Sus scrofa: one gene and its partner. The protein of the gene in region 2 interacts with the protein of the main gene of each other region in a biochemical or structural test. Links are inferred from orthologs where the notes say so. Each region holds a gene or a part of one and is shown on either strand. Other genes may lie near its edges.

Region 1 (7,971 bases), on a different chromosome or scaffold from region 2:
AAACCGTATGTCGCGCCCTTGCACCTCATCAGGAAACCCACTGTCATCCAGGGCCAGGAGTAGTGTTGCTGGAAAAGTCTCCTGTGGGGCTGGGGGCTTCCCCTCCCATCCTGGGGGATCAGGGGGATCCCAGAAGATGGGCAGGCTGATGTGCCAAATTGGGAGGAGTATGTGGCCAAAAACAAAAACTGAATATGTGGCTTTTAAAACGATGCCCTGTCTGCCCATAAAGGCTCACTCCTGAGACAGTCACAACCCTCTGTGGGAATTCTCCCAAAACTGGTCTGGGCTCCAGGCTCTCCATTGTTCACTCAAATGTTCATCCTCACTGGGCCAGGGCCTCCTTGTCCCTCACACTGTGCTGACTTCCAGAGACACAGTCACCTCACCTGAAATTAAATCACCCTCTGTGTCTCCCCACTGGGCAGTGAGCTCCATACAGGCATAGCCAGCCCTCTTCAGGGCTGTGTCCCCAGCACCTTGCAGTCCATTGGGGTGGGGTGGGGGTGAGTGAATACCTCCCCATTTTACAGATGAACAGACTGAGGCACAGAGAGGTGAGGGGCTGGCCTGAGGTCACACAGCTTCAGGATGATGGGGCTGTTGCAGCAGAACCCAGGTTTAGAAGTCTCTGTCATGGCTTAGCAGTAACAAACCCAACTAGTATCCATGAGGACACGGGTTTCATCCTGGCCTTGCTTAGTGGGTTAAGGATCCAGCATTGTATTGAGCTATGGTGTAGATCGCAGACATTGCTATGGCTGTGGTGTAGGCAGGCAGCTATAGCTGCCATTCGACCCCTAGCCTGGGAACTACCATATGCTGCGGGTGTGGCTCTAGCTCTGCTGTATGCCTGTCCTGCCTTGGTCCACTTCCTAGGGGTTGTGAACCTCTCATGCCACGGGTCTAGAGCACCCCTCCAGGGACTAGAGGCCAACCAGCCTCTTCCTTGTCTGCCTTGGCCCTGGTCACTTGGTCCCCAGTACCCCAAAGGGCTTTGGTTTGGCAGTCTGGGGAGGCGGGTCAGGGCTCTGTCCTTTGCCTCTTGATGCCTCAGTTTCCCCTGCCTCCTCACTCAGAGGCCCAGCTCCTGGGAGCTGTATGCTGCCTTGTAACTAGGATTTCCCTGTCACTGCCTCCCCCTCCTGATTGCCTTTTTGTTTTTCGTAGCAGTAACAATGATTTTGATGAAGAGGAAGAGGGTACAGCTGAGGGAAACCTTGGGTTTCATTGGTCAGACAGATCTGGCTTTGAATCTTGTCTCTACCGCTTATGTGTAACCTTAGGACAGATCTTAGCTTCTGCATGGACTCAGCTTTCCCAGCTGAGTTTTAGGGGTAGGAAATCAACCCCATTGGCTTGCTGAGAAGAATCAGGGAGCTCACTAAGGTCAGGCGTCAGCTCCTGTGGTAGCCTGGGTGCTGGGAGGGATAGGGCCTGCGTCTCCCTCAGGGTCTCCCACGTGGAGCAGCTCAGTGAGTATGGGTTGAGTGTGCAGAATCAGGTTGGCCTTAACAGTGTTAATTTCCAAGGGAAGAAGCAGAGATGTGGAGTTCCTGGTCCCTAAAGCAAGTCTGTTCTGGAGCCGAGACACCCTGGCTTGAGTGCACCTCAGCCCATGAGCACCTGGCCCCTTCTGTTCCTCCTGGCAGCCCTTTCGGAATGAGCCCAGATAGGGCTCAGGTCCCCACTGCATCCCCCATGCTCACCCCTCAGAGGCAGCTTAGGTTGGACTTGTTAAAGTAAAAAACTGAAGATCCTCGAGAGCTAACCTGGAAGGACAGGGTGGGAGTGCGGGGGCTCTAGGTAGTTCCTGCCCCAGGGACTTTGCACACTCTTCTCTTTTTTCCTCACCCACCTGACTCTCTGCTCAGGCCTCTCTTCTCACCCCTACCTGCCCATGCAGGTCCACTGCCCTTTATACCTGTAACATTGCAGGGGACTCCCTTTTACCAGTAGGGGCGCTTGTAAAGCCACATCTTCCCGCATAGCCCTTTTATGATTACCCCCAGAGCATGGGACATGCTGGTCTCCCCTGACCAGTTCTTCTCCTGGGCTGGAATGTGCACTGATGGAATAGGTTCTGATGCAGAGGTTCACACTTTTGAGAGGTGCCAGGGCCCCCCAGGTAGTACCTCACAGGTCAAGATCTCAGGCAGTTCCTTAAATTCATATTTCTTTCTCTACCCACCCCTCAAGCACTTTGAAGTTAATTTGCGTAAATGTGGTGTTGGGGTTCCCCATGTGGCTCAGTGGAAACATTCCCACTAGTATCCAAGAGGGTGCATGTACTATCCCTGGCCTTGTTCAGTAGGTCGGGGATCTGGTGTTGCTGTGAGCTGTGGTATAGGTCACAGACGCAGCTTGGATCCTGTGTGGCTGTGGCTGTGGCTGGCAGCTATAGCTCTGATTCAATCCCTAGCCTGGAATCCTCCATGTGCCGCGAGTGCGGCCCTAAAAAGCAAAAAAAAAAAAAAAAAAAAAAAAAAAGTTATTTCACACACTTTATTTCTTATTAAATGCTTTTTTGGCTTTTGTCATTTAAGGGCTGCACCCATGGCATATGGAGGTTCCCAGGCTAGGGGCTGGATTGGAGCTATAGCTTCCGGCCTACACCACAGCTCACAACAACGCCGGATCTCTAACCCACTGAGCGAGGCCAGGGATCGAACCTGCAACCTCATGGTTCCTACTTGGATTCATTTTCACCACACCACGACGGGAACCCCAATACTTTTTATTTTTGTAAATAGGCAATACATTCACCAGGTTCAATATTTAAAACACCTTAAGAATATACATGGCGGAGTTCCCGTCGTGGCGCAGTGGTTAACGAATCCGACTAGGAACCATGAGGTTGCAGGTTCGATCCCTGCCCTTGCTCAGTGGGTTAACGATCCGGCATTGCCGTGAGCTGTGGTGTAGGTTGCAGACGCGGCTCGGATCCCGCGTTGCTGTGGCTCTGGCGTAGGCCGGTGGCTACAGCTCTGACTCAACCCCTAGCCTGGGAACCTCCATATGCCGCGGGAGCGGCCCAAGAAATAGCAACAATAACAACAACAATAACAAAGACAAAAGACAAAAAAAAAAAAAAAAAAAAAGAATGTACGTGGCAAGTCTCATCCCAAATTCTGCACATTGGACATAAGTCTTATAGTTTCTTTGAGCAGCTTTCTGGAGATGCATATATCATGCAGTTCACCCATTTAAAGGGTACAGATTTAGTAGTTTTTAGCATATTCACAGAGTTGTGTATCCATCACCACAATTTCAGAACATTTTTCTTTAGGGCAAGAAGAAACCCTGACCCATTTGCTCACACTCCCCCAATCCTCCCAGCCCCCAGCAGCCACTAATCTGCTGTCTCTATGGCTTTGCATATTCCGGCCATTTCATAAGCATGGGATTGTGTAATATGTGGGCCTTCAGTCTGGCTTCTTGGATTTAACATGTTGTTTTTTTTTTTTTTTTTTTTGTCTTTTTGTCTTTTGTCTTTTTGTTGTTTTTGTTGCTATTTCTTGGGCCGCTCCCGCGGCATATGGAGGTTCCCAGGCTAGGGGTTGAATTGGAGCTGTAGCCACCAGCCTATGCCAGAGCCACAGCAACGCGGGATCCGAGCCGCGTCTGCAACCTACACCACAGCTCACGGCAATGCCGGATCGTTAACCCACTGAGCAAGGCCAGGGACCAAACCCGCAACCTCATGGTTCCTAGTCGGATTCGTTAACCACTGCGCCACGACGGGAACTCCGGATTTAACATGTTTTTTAAGGTTTATTCAAGTTGTGGCATGTGTCAGTAGTTTGTTCCTTTTTATGGCTGAATAGTATTCTGTTGTAGATGCACCACATTTTGTTTATGCATCCATCAGCTGATGGATGTTTAGTTTTTTTCCACCTTTTGCCTGTTGTGGGTGGTGCTGGTATAAACATTCATGGACAGGCATATGTGTGGATATATGTTTGCCTTTCTGGGGTATAATTCCTAGAAGTGGAATTGCTGGGTCATATGGTAACTTCATGTTTAAACATCTGAGGAACCGTTTTCCCCAGCAACTGTACAACTTTGCATTTCCACCAGCAACATAGGAGGGTTTCCATTCATTTCATCCTCACTAACACTTATTTATCTTTTTTATTCTGCCCACCCTAGCGGGTATGAAATGGTGTCCCATTGTGGTTTGGATTTGCGATTCCCCGATGTCTAGTGATGTTCCCATACAGTTTCAGGGGTTTTGAGTTGTCATTCTGTCATTCAACAAATGGTGATTGAGGGTCATGTGCTCAGCACTGAGAATGCAGCATATAAGATCCGATGACTCTGCCTTCCTGGCGTTCCTATGTCAGTGCCCTTCACTATGTGTGTAGTGCTAGTGATGGCTAACAGTCATGGGGTGCTCACTGTGACATCTCATGTATTATTCAACCACATATGCATAAGAATGCCTTTGCCCTCCTTCTGCAAGGGACAGCAGGCAGCCACCCTGCTGATTTGACAGTCTGTCACAGGCAAGGCCACGCTGGGACAGGAGTGGCTGGCTCCTGGGATCCTTATAGTCATGCAAATTCCACCATGTGGCTGTCCGAGCGCCCGTGTGTCTCCCTGCAGTGGGCTGAGTCTGCTGCCTGACCCTCGTCCTTCTGTCTCTCCATGTCCCCTTCGCAGCCGCCGCCATGGCCCAGACGCTGCAGATGGAGATCCCGAACTTTGGCAACAGCATTCTGGAGTGCCTCAACGAGCAGCGGCTGCAGGGCCTGTACTGTGATGTGTCGGTGGTGGTCAAGGGCCACGCCTTCAAGGCCCACCGGGCTGTGCTGGCCGCCAGCAGCTCCTACTTCCGGGACCTGTTCAACAGCAGCCGGAGCGCTGTGGTGGAGCTGCCGGCGGCCGTGCAGCCCCAGTCCTTCCAGCAGATCCTCAGCTTCTGCTACACTGGCCGGCTGAGCATGAACATGGGTGACCAGTTCCTGCTCATGTACACGGCTGGCTTCCTGCAGATACAGGAGATCATGGAGAAGGGCACAGAGTTCTTCCTCAAGGTGAGCTCCCCTAGCTGCGACTCCCAGGGCCTGCACGCCGAGGAGGCGCCCTCGTCCGAGCCCCAGAGCCCCGTGGCGCAGACGTCGAGCTGGCCGGCCTGCGGTACCCCGCTGCCCCTGGTGTCTCGAGTCAAGACAGAGCAGCAGGAGTCGGACTCTGTGCAGTGCACGCCTGTGGCCAAGCGGCTATGGGACAGCGGCCAGAAGGAGGCGGGCGGTGGCAGTGGTAGCAACGGCAGCCGCAAGATGGCCAAGTTTTCCACGCCAGATCTGACCGCCAACCGGGCACCCCAGCAGCCCCCGGTGGTGGCAGCTGCACAGCCCACTGGGGTGGCTGCAGGGGCCGGAGCTGGGCAATCGACTGGGGGAGCGGCAGCGGTGGCGGCAGCGGCGGCAGCAGGGGCAGTGGTGAGTGGGCCCAGCACGTCGGAGCGGACCAGCCCAGGCACCTCAAGTGCCTACACCAGCGACAGCCCCAGCTCCTACCACAATGAGGAGGACGAGGAGGAGGACGCGGGCGAGGAGGGCACAGATGAGCAGTACCGGCAGATCTGCAATATGTACACCATGTACAGCATGATGAACGTCGGCCAGACCGGTGAGGCACCTGCCTGGCCCCGCAACCCCCCACCCCAGCCTGGCCCCTCTCCCTCTGCTGCCCCTATCCCCAACACACCACTCTTTCCCCTACCCCCCAGCCGAGAAGGTGGAGGCCCTCCCCGAGCAGGTGGCCCCCGAGTCCCGGAATCGCATCCGGGTACGGCAGGACCTGGCATCTCTCCCCGCTGAGCTCATCAACCAGATCGGTAACCGCTGCCACCCCAAGCTCTACGACGAGGGCGACCCTTCTGAGAAGCTGGAGCTGGTGACAGGTGGGCCAGCCTCACTCCCTCCCTGAATTCTCCCTGCCCCTCACCTCAGGCAGCCAGACCCAAGGTCCGGGAGTTCCCTGGCAACCTAGTAGTTAAGGACCCAATGTCATCGCTGCTGTGGCTCATTGTCATTACTGTGGCGTGGGTTCAGTTCCTGGCCTGGGAATTTCCACATGTAGCAGCGCAGCCCAAAAACCTCAAACAAAACAAAAACAAGAGACTCAAAAGTCCATCCCCAGCCCTGCTGCCCATTACCTACATCCTAGGGCAGGTGACACCCCCTAGCATTGATACAAATGCAAGACTGTCTTCTAGGTTTCTACCCCGGAGGTTGGTGTAAGTGTTGGCTGGCATTGTTGGCCAGCATTGTTGGCCATGTAGGGATAGGTCAGAGGCTTCACAGGGTTTGAATTTGGCCCTTGAAGTCAGGATGTCATGTGAGCCTCTGTTGCCTGTTTTTTTCTGACACTGGTGTTACGTGGGCAAGAGCCGGGTAGGGTGGGTGCCCCATGGACAGTGGTGCTACAGTCTCCATCCTTTCCTGAGTATTGATGAGGCCACTCTGGGTTGAGTTGTGAAGGAGGGTCTAGGTTGGGCCCAGCCCAGCACCTGGCCGAGTGGGCTTCCTGGCCATCCTCTGGCTCCCCGCCCCCCCTCCAGGCACCAACGTGTACATCACAAGAGCGCAGCTCATGAACTGCCACGTCAGCGCAGGCACGCGGCACAAGGTCCTGCTGCGGCGCCTCCTGGCCTCCTTCTTTGACCGGTGAGTCTCACGCCAGAGCCCTAGGGATTGGGGGTGAGGTGGGGCCGTCCCGTGCCCCCACGGCCACAGGGGGCCTGACTCCCCCACCCCATGCTCCCCTGCCCAGGAACACACTGGCCAACAGCTGTGGCACCGGCATCCGCTCTTCCAGTAACAACCCCAGCCGCAAGCCACTGGACAGTCGTGTCCTCCATGCCGTCAAGTGTGAGTGTCCACCCTTCTGGAGGTGGGGGTGGGGGCCTAGGGCGGGCATTGGGTCCTTTTCTCTGGTGTTGGTCCTAACGGATCGGTAAGTAGGGCTTGGTGTTAAGGCTTCTAAGCTTTAATATAGACTGGTTGGGAAGAGGGCTGGGATTGCTTAGAGATTAAGTGGACTCTCCCTGGTTTTAAATTTTGGCAAATGACGAACATTTTTCAAGTGCATCAAATCCACACATCCCCCACATATGGCCAAGCTGGGTCAGGCCTGGGGCCTGCCGATGTGGTTTAGCAAGCTGTCTGCGAGGCCTCAGTTCCCTCACTTCCCAGGGCTTTGGGGATGCTCTATGTGTATGTGTGTGTATGTCTTTGGGACATTCAGGAGCAGCGGGGCCAAGTGCCTGTCTGCAAATTGGGAGGTAAGGGCCCTGCTCAGCCTGAGCTACCCATTCTGCCTGTACAGACTACTGCCAGAACTTTGCCCCTAACTTCAAGGAAAGCGAGATGAACGCCATCGCAGCCGACATGTGCACCAATGCCCGCCGCGTTGTGCGTAAGAGCTGGATCCCCAAGGTCAAGCCGCTCATGGCTGAGGGTGACGCCTATACCACCTTCATCAGCTACACGGGCAAGATAGAGCCGGACATGATGGGTGTGGAGCACGGCTTCGAGACGGCCAGTCATGACGGCGAGGCCGGCCCCTCAGCCGAGGAGGCCCTCCAGTAACCCCCACCAGACCCTCCCACGGGGCTGTCACACTCCCCTCCTGTCACACCCACCCACCATCTTGGTCACGAGCTACTGTCTGTCCTTCCCCAGGACCCGTGGGGGGGCGCTGCATGCTCCCGGCCCTTCTGCCTCCCTTGTCCCACCCCCTGACCCCACTCCGATAGGTCGGGGAGCGGGCTGGGAGAGGACAGCAGGCAGTGCGAGGTCTGCGTTGCCTTCTCTAGCACACACGTGCTTAGTCGGGGAGCTCTAGCGCCCCCTCTCCTAACCCTTAGCAACTGTCTCCCCACTCACCAGGCCAGGCATAGGGAGGGGCTGGCCTGGGGGGCTTGGGAAGACCCCCCACCTTCCCAGGCCCTGGGCCACC
Region 2 (7,971 bases):
CAAGCGTCTGTTCCTTGGCCACCGAAGGGGGAGAAACGCTAACGGCATCCCAGGCTGACAACGACCCCAGACCGGGGCGTCTGGCCGGGAGAAGCAACAGGTGCCCTGACCACGTCAGCTCTTGGCTGACCCGACACAGGCCACTGTGCTCCAGGGACGCGGGCGGATGGTGGAAGGGCCTGACGGGCGAGTGCCTGGGTCGGACACAGGGCTGCCCGGGTCGGGGGCCCTTTGGGGGGATCCTGGTCTGCTGCTGCCCCAGCTCTCCCCCTCATCCCATTCACCCCGGATGTCACTCCAGTGCCTGCAGAGTGTAAAGCCGTGGGGCCACCACACTCGGGACAAAGGTACCGATCAGCATGGCTGAGGACTGGACCTCTGACCTTCTGGCAGCAAACCGGGGGCTGGCCAGGGCGCTTCTGTGCCTAAGATGCCCCCATCATTACGAGGGTTTGGGATGATACCTCACAGTTGGCTGCTTTTCGGAACATACCGTAACATTTTTAAGCACGAGGGCTCAGTCGATTAGGATCGGACTCTGCCCTAGGTGCCCAGCTGCCTGCAGAGGCGGGCAGGGAGGTTGAATGGGGCTTCGCTCCTCCAGCCCGCAGCATGGGCAGAAGGCCCACCGGGCCCGGGAAAGGAGCCACGTTGACCGCAGAGCCCGTGCCAGGGCGCCCCCCGGGCACACACTCTGTTCCTCCTGGGGGATGGGCTGGGGGTGACGGGGCAGGGGCAGCCTCCCCGGGGTCCACGCTGGCACATGAGATGGTGTTTCTCCACCAGGCCAGCGGCGGACGTTTTACCGCTGCACTGGGTCCTGTCCAGATGCAGGAATCTGCCCGAGATGAGCAGCGCCTGCGTCCTGAGGTCTTACAAATCCACTGCCCTACCAGCCACGGCCAACATCTGTCAAGCATTTCAGGGGGGAATGAACCAAGCAGGACTTAGGTCTCAACTGGCAGAGCAGCACAACCTGGGTGCCTGGCTAGCATCCCAGGCTGCAAGCCCCATCTGGCCCAGTCAGTCAGCCTACTTGGGAGCTCTGGGATGGCCAGCTAGGTTCCCAGGAGGTGGCCACACTCGCAGCACATTGCTGAGTGGCCGGAAGCCTGGGTGACACAGCCACATCCGCCAGGCGCCCCCACCTGCCTCTCTCCTGGGCCCTTTATTCCACCTGTTCACCTGCGATTCCTACAAAAGTCTCAGGGAAGGTGCACGCCCCCAGGAAGCCTTCCCTGACTGCACCCTGCTGCAAGCCCAGCACCCAACCTTCTCCATGAGCCCCAACTGCAAAGCTCTCCGTGGGTCGGGGGAGTGGGGTGCCTGGCGAGTAGGAGACGCTGATCTGACAGCTCTGCTCGCCGGCCACGGGTGATGCACTGGGCAGGTGGCTGCCTGCTCAGGGTCGTGGCTTCCCTCCAGGCCAGGCTGCCCAGCAGAACCTTCTATGTGGAAGATACAATCCACATGCCTGGCCCACGTGTGTCCAGCCTGGGGAGGACTAGAGCGAGCAGCAAACACAGCTTCTTTCGGCCCTGAGCGTCCGGCCTGGGCCCGCTGCTTGGAGACTCGACCTGGGACCATTTCAGGGCCCCCTGCTCCTTTCAGGGGAAGATTCCAGTCTGTCGAGGGCGTCCCAGAGCTTCTGACACCGAGGATGCACAAGCCGCTCTGAGCAGGCGGCGCGTGGACCCAGGACCCCGCACCTTCCCCAGCAGGGACCCGCTGCCAGGCATTTGGGAAAGGACCTGGGTTCTAGCTCTGACACCGTCTGTCCACAGAGACCATCACCAACAGGCAGGGCTGTGGGCCGACCCCTCGGGAACCTCAGAGAACCCGCCAGAGCAAACCCGTGCTGAGTGACCCTCCCTGGCCCTGCTCAGACACCCCGCCTGGCACATGGTCCAGTCGCAGAGACATCTGTGCACCCACCACGCACCAACTGCTGCGTGGGGGGGAGGGAGGAGGTGGCCAGGGTGCAGACGAGACGGAGCATGAGAAGCTGCACTGCGGCAGCAGGACCAGGAGGAAGGCCGGGGCTCCTGGCGGGAGGTGGGTGCATGCAAGCCGGACCCAGTGCCGAGAGGGCTCTGAGAAGAGGGTGCTTCCAGAGGGCCCGTGTCGGCCCCCCGCCCAAGGGAGCCTCGTACCCTGTGTGGAGAGGAGGCACTGGGAGGCCGGGCAGGTGGCTGCCTGCTCAGGGCTGCAGCTTCCCTCCAGGCCAGGCTGCCCAGCAGAGCCTTCTGTGTGGAAGGTACGTTCCACGTGCCTACCGCCCCACGGCCGGCAGCCAAGGGAGCGTTTTCTAGGTCACACGTGGGCCTGAACCAATTTTCCCTGTGCTCTTAATTTGGAACTGAAATGTGAACGGCCACCCTGGATGGTGCTGCTCTGGACCCCGGAGGGCCCCTGAGTGGAGCTGGAGGACGCAGTGGGAGTGAAACTGCATGCAAGGGGCCTTCCCGCAAGAAAGACCCAGGATCAGGGTGGGGGTGGGGGCAGGGGGGTGGCCCGAGACCCCAGGAAGGACAGGCGGGGGCGGGGGAGGGACAGAGTGAGGTTGAAGGCCAAGCCCCGTAAAACTAAGAGCAACCACATGGACTGTAGGCACAGACGGCCGAGGAGGGCTCAGGGTCAGGGCTGCCCCGTGGCTACTCGGACTCGGTCAACCCCCAAAACCCGGGGGAGGCCGAGCACCACAGACGGGGCCTGGCCGTGGGATGGAGGCTTCCTCGCCTCCAGGGAGCCCATGGGCTCCATCACCGGAGTAATGCTTTTCCCTGCTGCGGGCCCTTCTAATACAACCGTCCCTTAGGGCGCATGTCAGGTGACTTCACTGAGAGAGACGGACCGCCCAGCAGAGCCGACTCGGCTGCATGGAGCGGCTGGCGCATCAGGGCGGCCGACCCGCTCGACTCCATGCACCTGCCACGCAGGTGGACGCGGTCTAAGGAGCCACCGCCTCGCGTGAGGGGGTGTGCACAGCAGTGCTGGGGGCCGTCTCACCAGCCCCCTTGAAGCCCACAACTGCCCACCCCAGCGGGGCCTGGAGGGCACTCACCTGTGACCAGGGGTGTCTGCGCGGCCGGCTGCTCCAGGAGGACCATGTGCTGCAGGAGAGGGTTGTGGGCCGTCCCCGCGTCCCGGTCCAGGGGAGCCGCGCTCAGGTAGGGGGAGAGGTGGGTGCCGGGGAAGAGGTGGATGCGCTGCTGGAGGGCGGGGAGGGTGAGCCTCTCGGCTTCCTGCTGGCCCGCCGCCTGGGGAGGCAGAGCGGGACGGGGGCCGTCAGGGCGACAACGTCCCCCACCCCCGCAGGCCCGTGGGCAAGCCGCTGGGCTTCCTGCTGGCCCACTGCCCCCTGGGGAGGCAGAATGGGATGGGGGGTGGGGGGAGCCAGGGGTGGGCCAGTGATAGCACCGCCCCCCCGCCAACCCCGCAGACCCGTGGGTGCCTACTTACCGTGGAAGGGCCGGTGGCGGGAAGCCCCAGCGTGATGTTGGGCAAAGACGGGGACGTGTAGAGGGGGAGGGGGCCCACGGAGCCTTCCCGAGTCACGAGCCTGTGAGCCAAGCTGGTCTGCGGACAGAGCACACGGCCGTCACACAGCCTGCAGGCCAGGCCTGCGGTCCCCTGAACAAAGCTGTCTTGACAAGTGACAGCAGCGAGACAGACGCGGCCGTCCACAGCATTAGAACCTGATTCACGATCCGTCACACTCTTGCTTGTTTTTAGTTAACTTGCTCATTCGCACTAAAGCTACCAGACTAAATCCAGGAGAGTATGTTTAAAAATATGTTCTGAGAGCTGGGAATGTCCTTCCAAACAAAACACGAGAGGTAGGAACGAGAGAGGAAAATGATGAATAAAAACAATCCCCTCACATAAAAGGCAAATAGTGCTGACGACAAGGCTGGCAATGGATAGTACAGACAGAGGCCAATATATAAAGAGCACACAGATCAAACAACAATTCATGAGGAAGGACAAAGAAGAACCAACATGGAGAAAAAACTCAGGAAAGAAAATTCAGCACCATCCTGTAATCTAAAGACCTATCAAAAAATCTAAAAATGTATTTTAAAATTGATCATGTTGGCAAAGGTTTTTTGAAAATGACGACAGCATCGTGATCGAGGGAGTTGGAAACACGCTGCCGGGTGGACGGTAAATGGGTGCCTTCCTTCTGCAGGACGATTCGGCGCTCCTTGTCAAAAGCCTTAAAACAGACCCAATCTTTGCTCCGAGACCCCTCCCCTCCACGCTGAGGGTGTCCTCTTAGGAAGTAAAGCTAGAGGAATTTGAGGATCTTATTTACCACGTGGGGCTAAGCAGCAGCCCCGAGGACCTGCACCACTGTGGCATTTCACATCGTCTTGCTTCTAGAAGGCATGTCCTTTGCTAAGAGGACACTGTCTCATTCACACCATCTCCTCCCCTCGGTAGGGACCAAGAGCACACAGTCACAACCACGAGCCGAGCAACAGCAGGTGGTGTGTGTGCCCTGACGTCGGCGGGGGGTCGCGGAAAGTCACCTTCGTGATGGACAGGTCACCAAGTCTCTCCTAGTTCTTCCCCCAAAGGATTTTTTAATTAAGGATGAGAAACACCTGGGTGCTCAAAAATTTCATTTGCAAGATAAAAATGTGCAGATGCGTGAGCTGAAAGGGATGACAGGTTCCCGTAAGCCATGACGGAAGGTCTACCGCGCAGCTAGAAAGCGCTCCCCCCCTGCCCCCCATCCCCGGGAAGGCAGACCCTTCCCCCGCCCCCGGCGGGGCGCAGGCATTCCCTGCCTTGCTGGGTGGCTCAACGGTGTCACACGCTGCACCTGATAAACTGTCCTCATGCCACCCCGGCAACGCAGGAAGGACCGTGTCCTCACTTGGGAGGAAGTTTAGCTGCAGGAAGGTGGCTGCAGCAAAGGCTTTAGGCTTTAGGTTTTTCACATAGTAACACAGTAATGATTCAAGGGCGCCTTAAAAAATGGCCTCTTTCCGGGTTAAAAACAAGCAGCAAGCTGTGCTTCAGAGGAAGCGGCTCAGAGTGCCAAGGAGGGCAGGAGGGCTCCGGACTGTGATGCCCAGGAACCAAAGCCACGGACATGCCAAGTCTGCAAAGCCATCACTTCCTCTTGCATCTCATTCACATCTAGAAATGGGAGTCCCCATCATGGCTCAGCGGTGAGCAAAGCCGACTAGCACCCACGAGGACATGGGTTCGATCCCTGGCCTCGCTCAGTGGGTTAAAGATCCCGCGTTGCCGTTAGCTGTGGATCATATGTGCTGTGGCTGCGGTGTAGGCGGGTGGCTGCAGCTCCAATTCGACCCCTAGCCTGGGAACCTCCATATGCCGTGGGTACGGCCCTAAAAAGACAAAAAGACCAAAAATAAAATAAAATAAAATAAATAAATGAAGCAGCCCTCTGCTTCATGGTCAGGTGCTGGCCGTGTCCATCGGCCCTACCACTCGCTCCCACTGGAAAGTCCAGGGCCAGGTCAGCGCCCACCACCAGCCTCCAAATCACACTTGGCTTTCTGCATGGAACGAAGCGCCCCCACGGAGGAGGCCATCCCTGGGTGGGGGAGCCCTGCTTCCTCTGGGGTGGAGGCGCTGAGCTTCCCTCGGTCCCGCAGTGAAAGGGGTGCAGGCAGCTCCGTGCCCCCCATCTCCGCAGGAGCAGCCTGGCTTCCTGGGCCCGGAGCTCTCACCAAACTGCCCAATCCTAACACGTCTCAAAATCCACAATCCAACTGAGATCAAATGTTCAGAGGCTGCCCCTGCGATTACAATGAAAAGCTCAGTGAAACACGGAAACCGCACTCTTCCCACCTCCTGGGATTCCTTTCGCATCTTCCATCAATTTGCAGGAGCTTAATTCACGTTAACATGGGATTTGTAAAAACTCACGCATAAGTTAAACCAGCATCCACCCGCATAAGCCCTCTCTACGTACGGGCCATTAGGTACCTAACAGCCCCTTTTAAGCAAAAGCAGGATCCATGACGGCCCTTGACAAGTCACAGCCGGCACGTCCATCTCGTTCAGGGAAGCAGTTTTTAGGCCAAGTTCTAAGGCAAATTACAGGTATGACCTCCGTCTTACAAACTGTAACCACCTCGAGGATTTTCGCAGGTGGGTTGAAATGCACGGTAACAAAAGGGACAGATGCACAGAGGAAACGAGGAAGAGGCGACGGGGGATCAAGCAGACTAGAGGAGGAGGCGCTTCGAGGAGTGACCCGAGGCCCTAAAACCCGCCTGGACGCCAGCCTCTAGAAACTGGCAGTGAAAAAGCCGTCACGTGTGTCTGCTTATCCCCCAGGACTCGGCAGCCCTCTGGGAGGGCGGGACTCGTCTCGAGGTATTGAGGAGAGAAAGTAAGATACTGCAGGCAATGACACGAGCTTCCTGGACGTCGGAAGGACGGAGGAAAAACCTCCCAAGAACCCCGCAGTCTGTAGGACCGTCCCCACAGGTAGCACAGGGCACCTACTGCTGGCTCAGTCCCGGGACACTCACTGTGCAGCCGGCTCCCCACGTGGCCCCCAGCCCCGGCCCATCCCAGGCTGCTGGGGAGCCGCGGGGAGGCAGGCCCTTGGCACGTGCCCCAGGACACTTGTGGGATGAGCCGAGGTTGAGTGAAGTGAGTAAAGAGAGAAACAGGCGCGTGGAGGGGAGGTTCTGGAAGCCAGGTCCGGTCACGGGCAGGACCTGCAGCCTGGCCGGCCCTCCACCTGGCCGGATCAGCCACCCATCCCCTCTCTCTGGAACTCTCTCGCCACCCATGTCCGGCTCAAGCTGCAGCACACCTGGGCTGCCAAGCAGAGGTGAGGGGCACACCCCACCCTGTGTCTGAGGCCTGGGGTCCCGAGAAGCTTCTGACATGCCGCCCCCAACACTGCAGATTGAAGGGCAGCTATAAACGGCTCTTTGGAGCCACGGCTGGGCCAGCCGGAATACCGGCCATGGACAGGGGCGCAGGGCACTGACCTCGGCCGGGACGCTGGGCACAGCGGGCGCGATGCCGTTCTCCGTGCTGACGCTCCCGGAGCTGTTGTTGGGCGAGCTGGGCGCGGAGCCCGGGGCGCTGCTGCACGCGGAGTCTGTGGGGAGAGACACTCGTGAGCCTGGCCCGGAGCAGGTCCCGGACACGAGACGTGCAAACAGGGACCCGAGCTGCGCGGGCCTCCTGAGGACTGGAGCTGGCGGCTGGCACAAGCCCCAACTCGAACAAGCAGGACCGCGTCCCCACATGGAGCTCATTCCCTGTTCTCAGCTTTGTCACCGACCTTCTCGTGAGCTTCGCAAACCTGTGGCTCCTGGAGGCCCTGCCTGAACCTCTATGCTCTGCACACGAGCGATGTTATTCTCCTTTTGAAAGGTTTCAAAATGATCTCTCTTTTTTTTGGTCTTTTTTGTCTGTTGAGGGCTGTACCCACGGTACACGCAAGTTCCCAGACTAGGGGTCGAATCAGAGTTGTAGCTGCCGGCCTACACCACAGCCACAGCAACTCGGGATCTAAGCCGAGTCTGCGACCTACACCACCGCTCACGGCAACACCCCGGATCCTTAACCCACCGAGCGAGGCCAGGGATTGAACCCGAGTCCTCGTGGGTGCTCGTCAGATTCGTTTCCATTAAAAGCCACGACGGGAACTCCCGCAAGAAGATCTTAAAACACCAAAGAATAAAGCCTGAGCACCTATTAACATTCTAACAACAAAAGGCAAGAAAACACGGAAGCCAAACACCTGCCCAGGGAGGCGACCCGCTGGGCTCGCTTCCAGAGCCCCCCCGACTGTTTACCGTGGGCTGACCCTCTCTTTTCAAACACCCAGGACGAGCTCAGCTGGGGCATCTGTGCCTGACTGGCGTCATCTGAAAACAAACCTCGGGATGCCCCCTGGAGCCGTGAAGGTGCGCCTGGCCCATCCCGCCCGGCGGGCGGGGTTCTGCTCCTCGGGAGCCG

The links.
Region 1: the proteins of HDAC4 (region 2) and NACC1 form a complex in vitro, tested with the Homo sapiens proteins (2 studies listed by BioGRID). The link is inferred for Sus scrofa from reciprocal best matches to the Homo sapiens genes HDAC4 and NACC1.

Annotation. Positions count from the first base shown.
Region 1 is NC_010444.4:65,922,760-65,930,730, reverse strand, and holds part of NACC1 (nucleus accumbens-associated protein 1), read left to right. Parts: intron 1-4,665; 5' UTR 4,666-4,673; coding exon 4,674-5,637; intron 5,638-5,737; coding exon 5,738-5,911; intron 5,912-6,571; coding exon 6,572-6,677; intron 6,678-6,783; coding exon 6,784-6,881; intron 6,882-7,338; coding exon 7,339-7,601; 3' UTR 7,602-7,971. UniProt on the Homo sapiens protein: Functions as a transcriptional repressor. Seems to function as a transcriptional corepressor in neuronal cells through recruitment of HDAC3 and HDAC4. Contributes to tumor progression, and tumor cell proliferation and survival.
Region 2 is NC_010457.5:138,432,031-138,440,001, forward strand, and holds part of HDAC4 (histone deacetylase 4), read right to left. Parts: intron 7,106-7,971; coding exon 6,993-7,105; intron 3,580-6,992; coding exon 3,463-3,579; intron 3,261-3,462; coding exon 3,065-3,260; intron 1-3,064. UniProt on the Homo sapiens protein: Responsible for the deacetylation of lysine residues on the N-terminal part of the core histones (H2A, H2B, H3 and H4).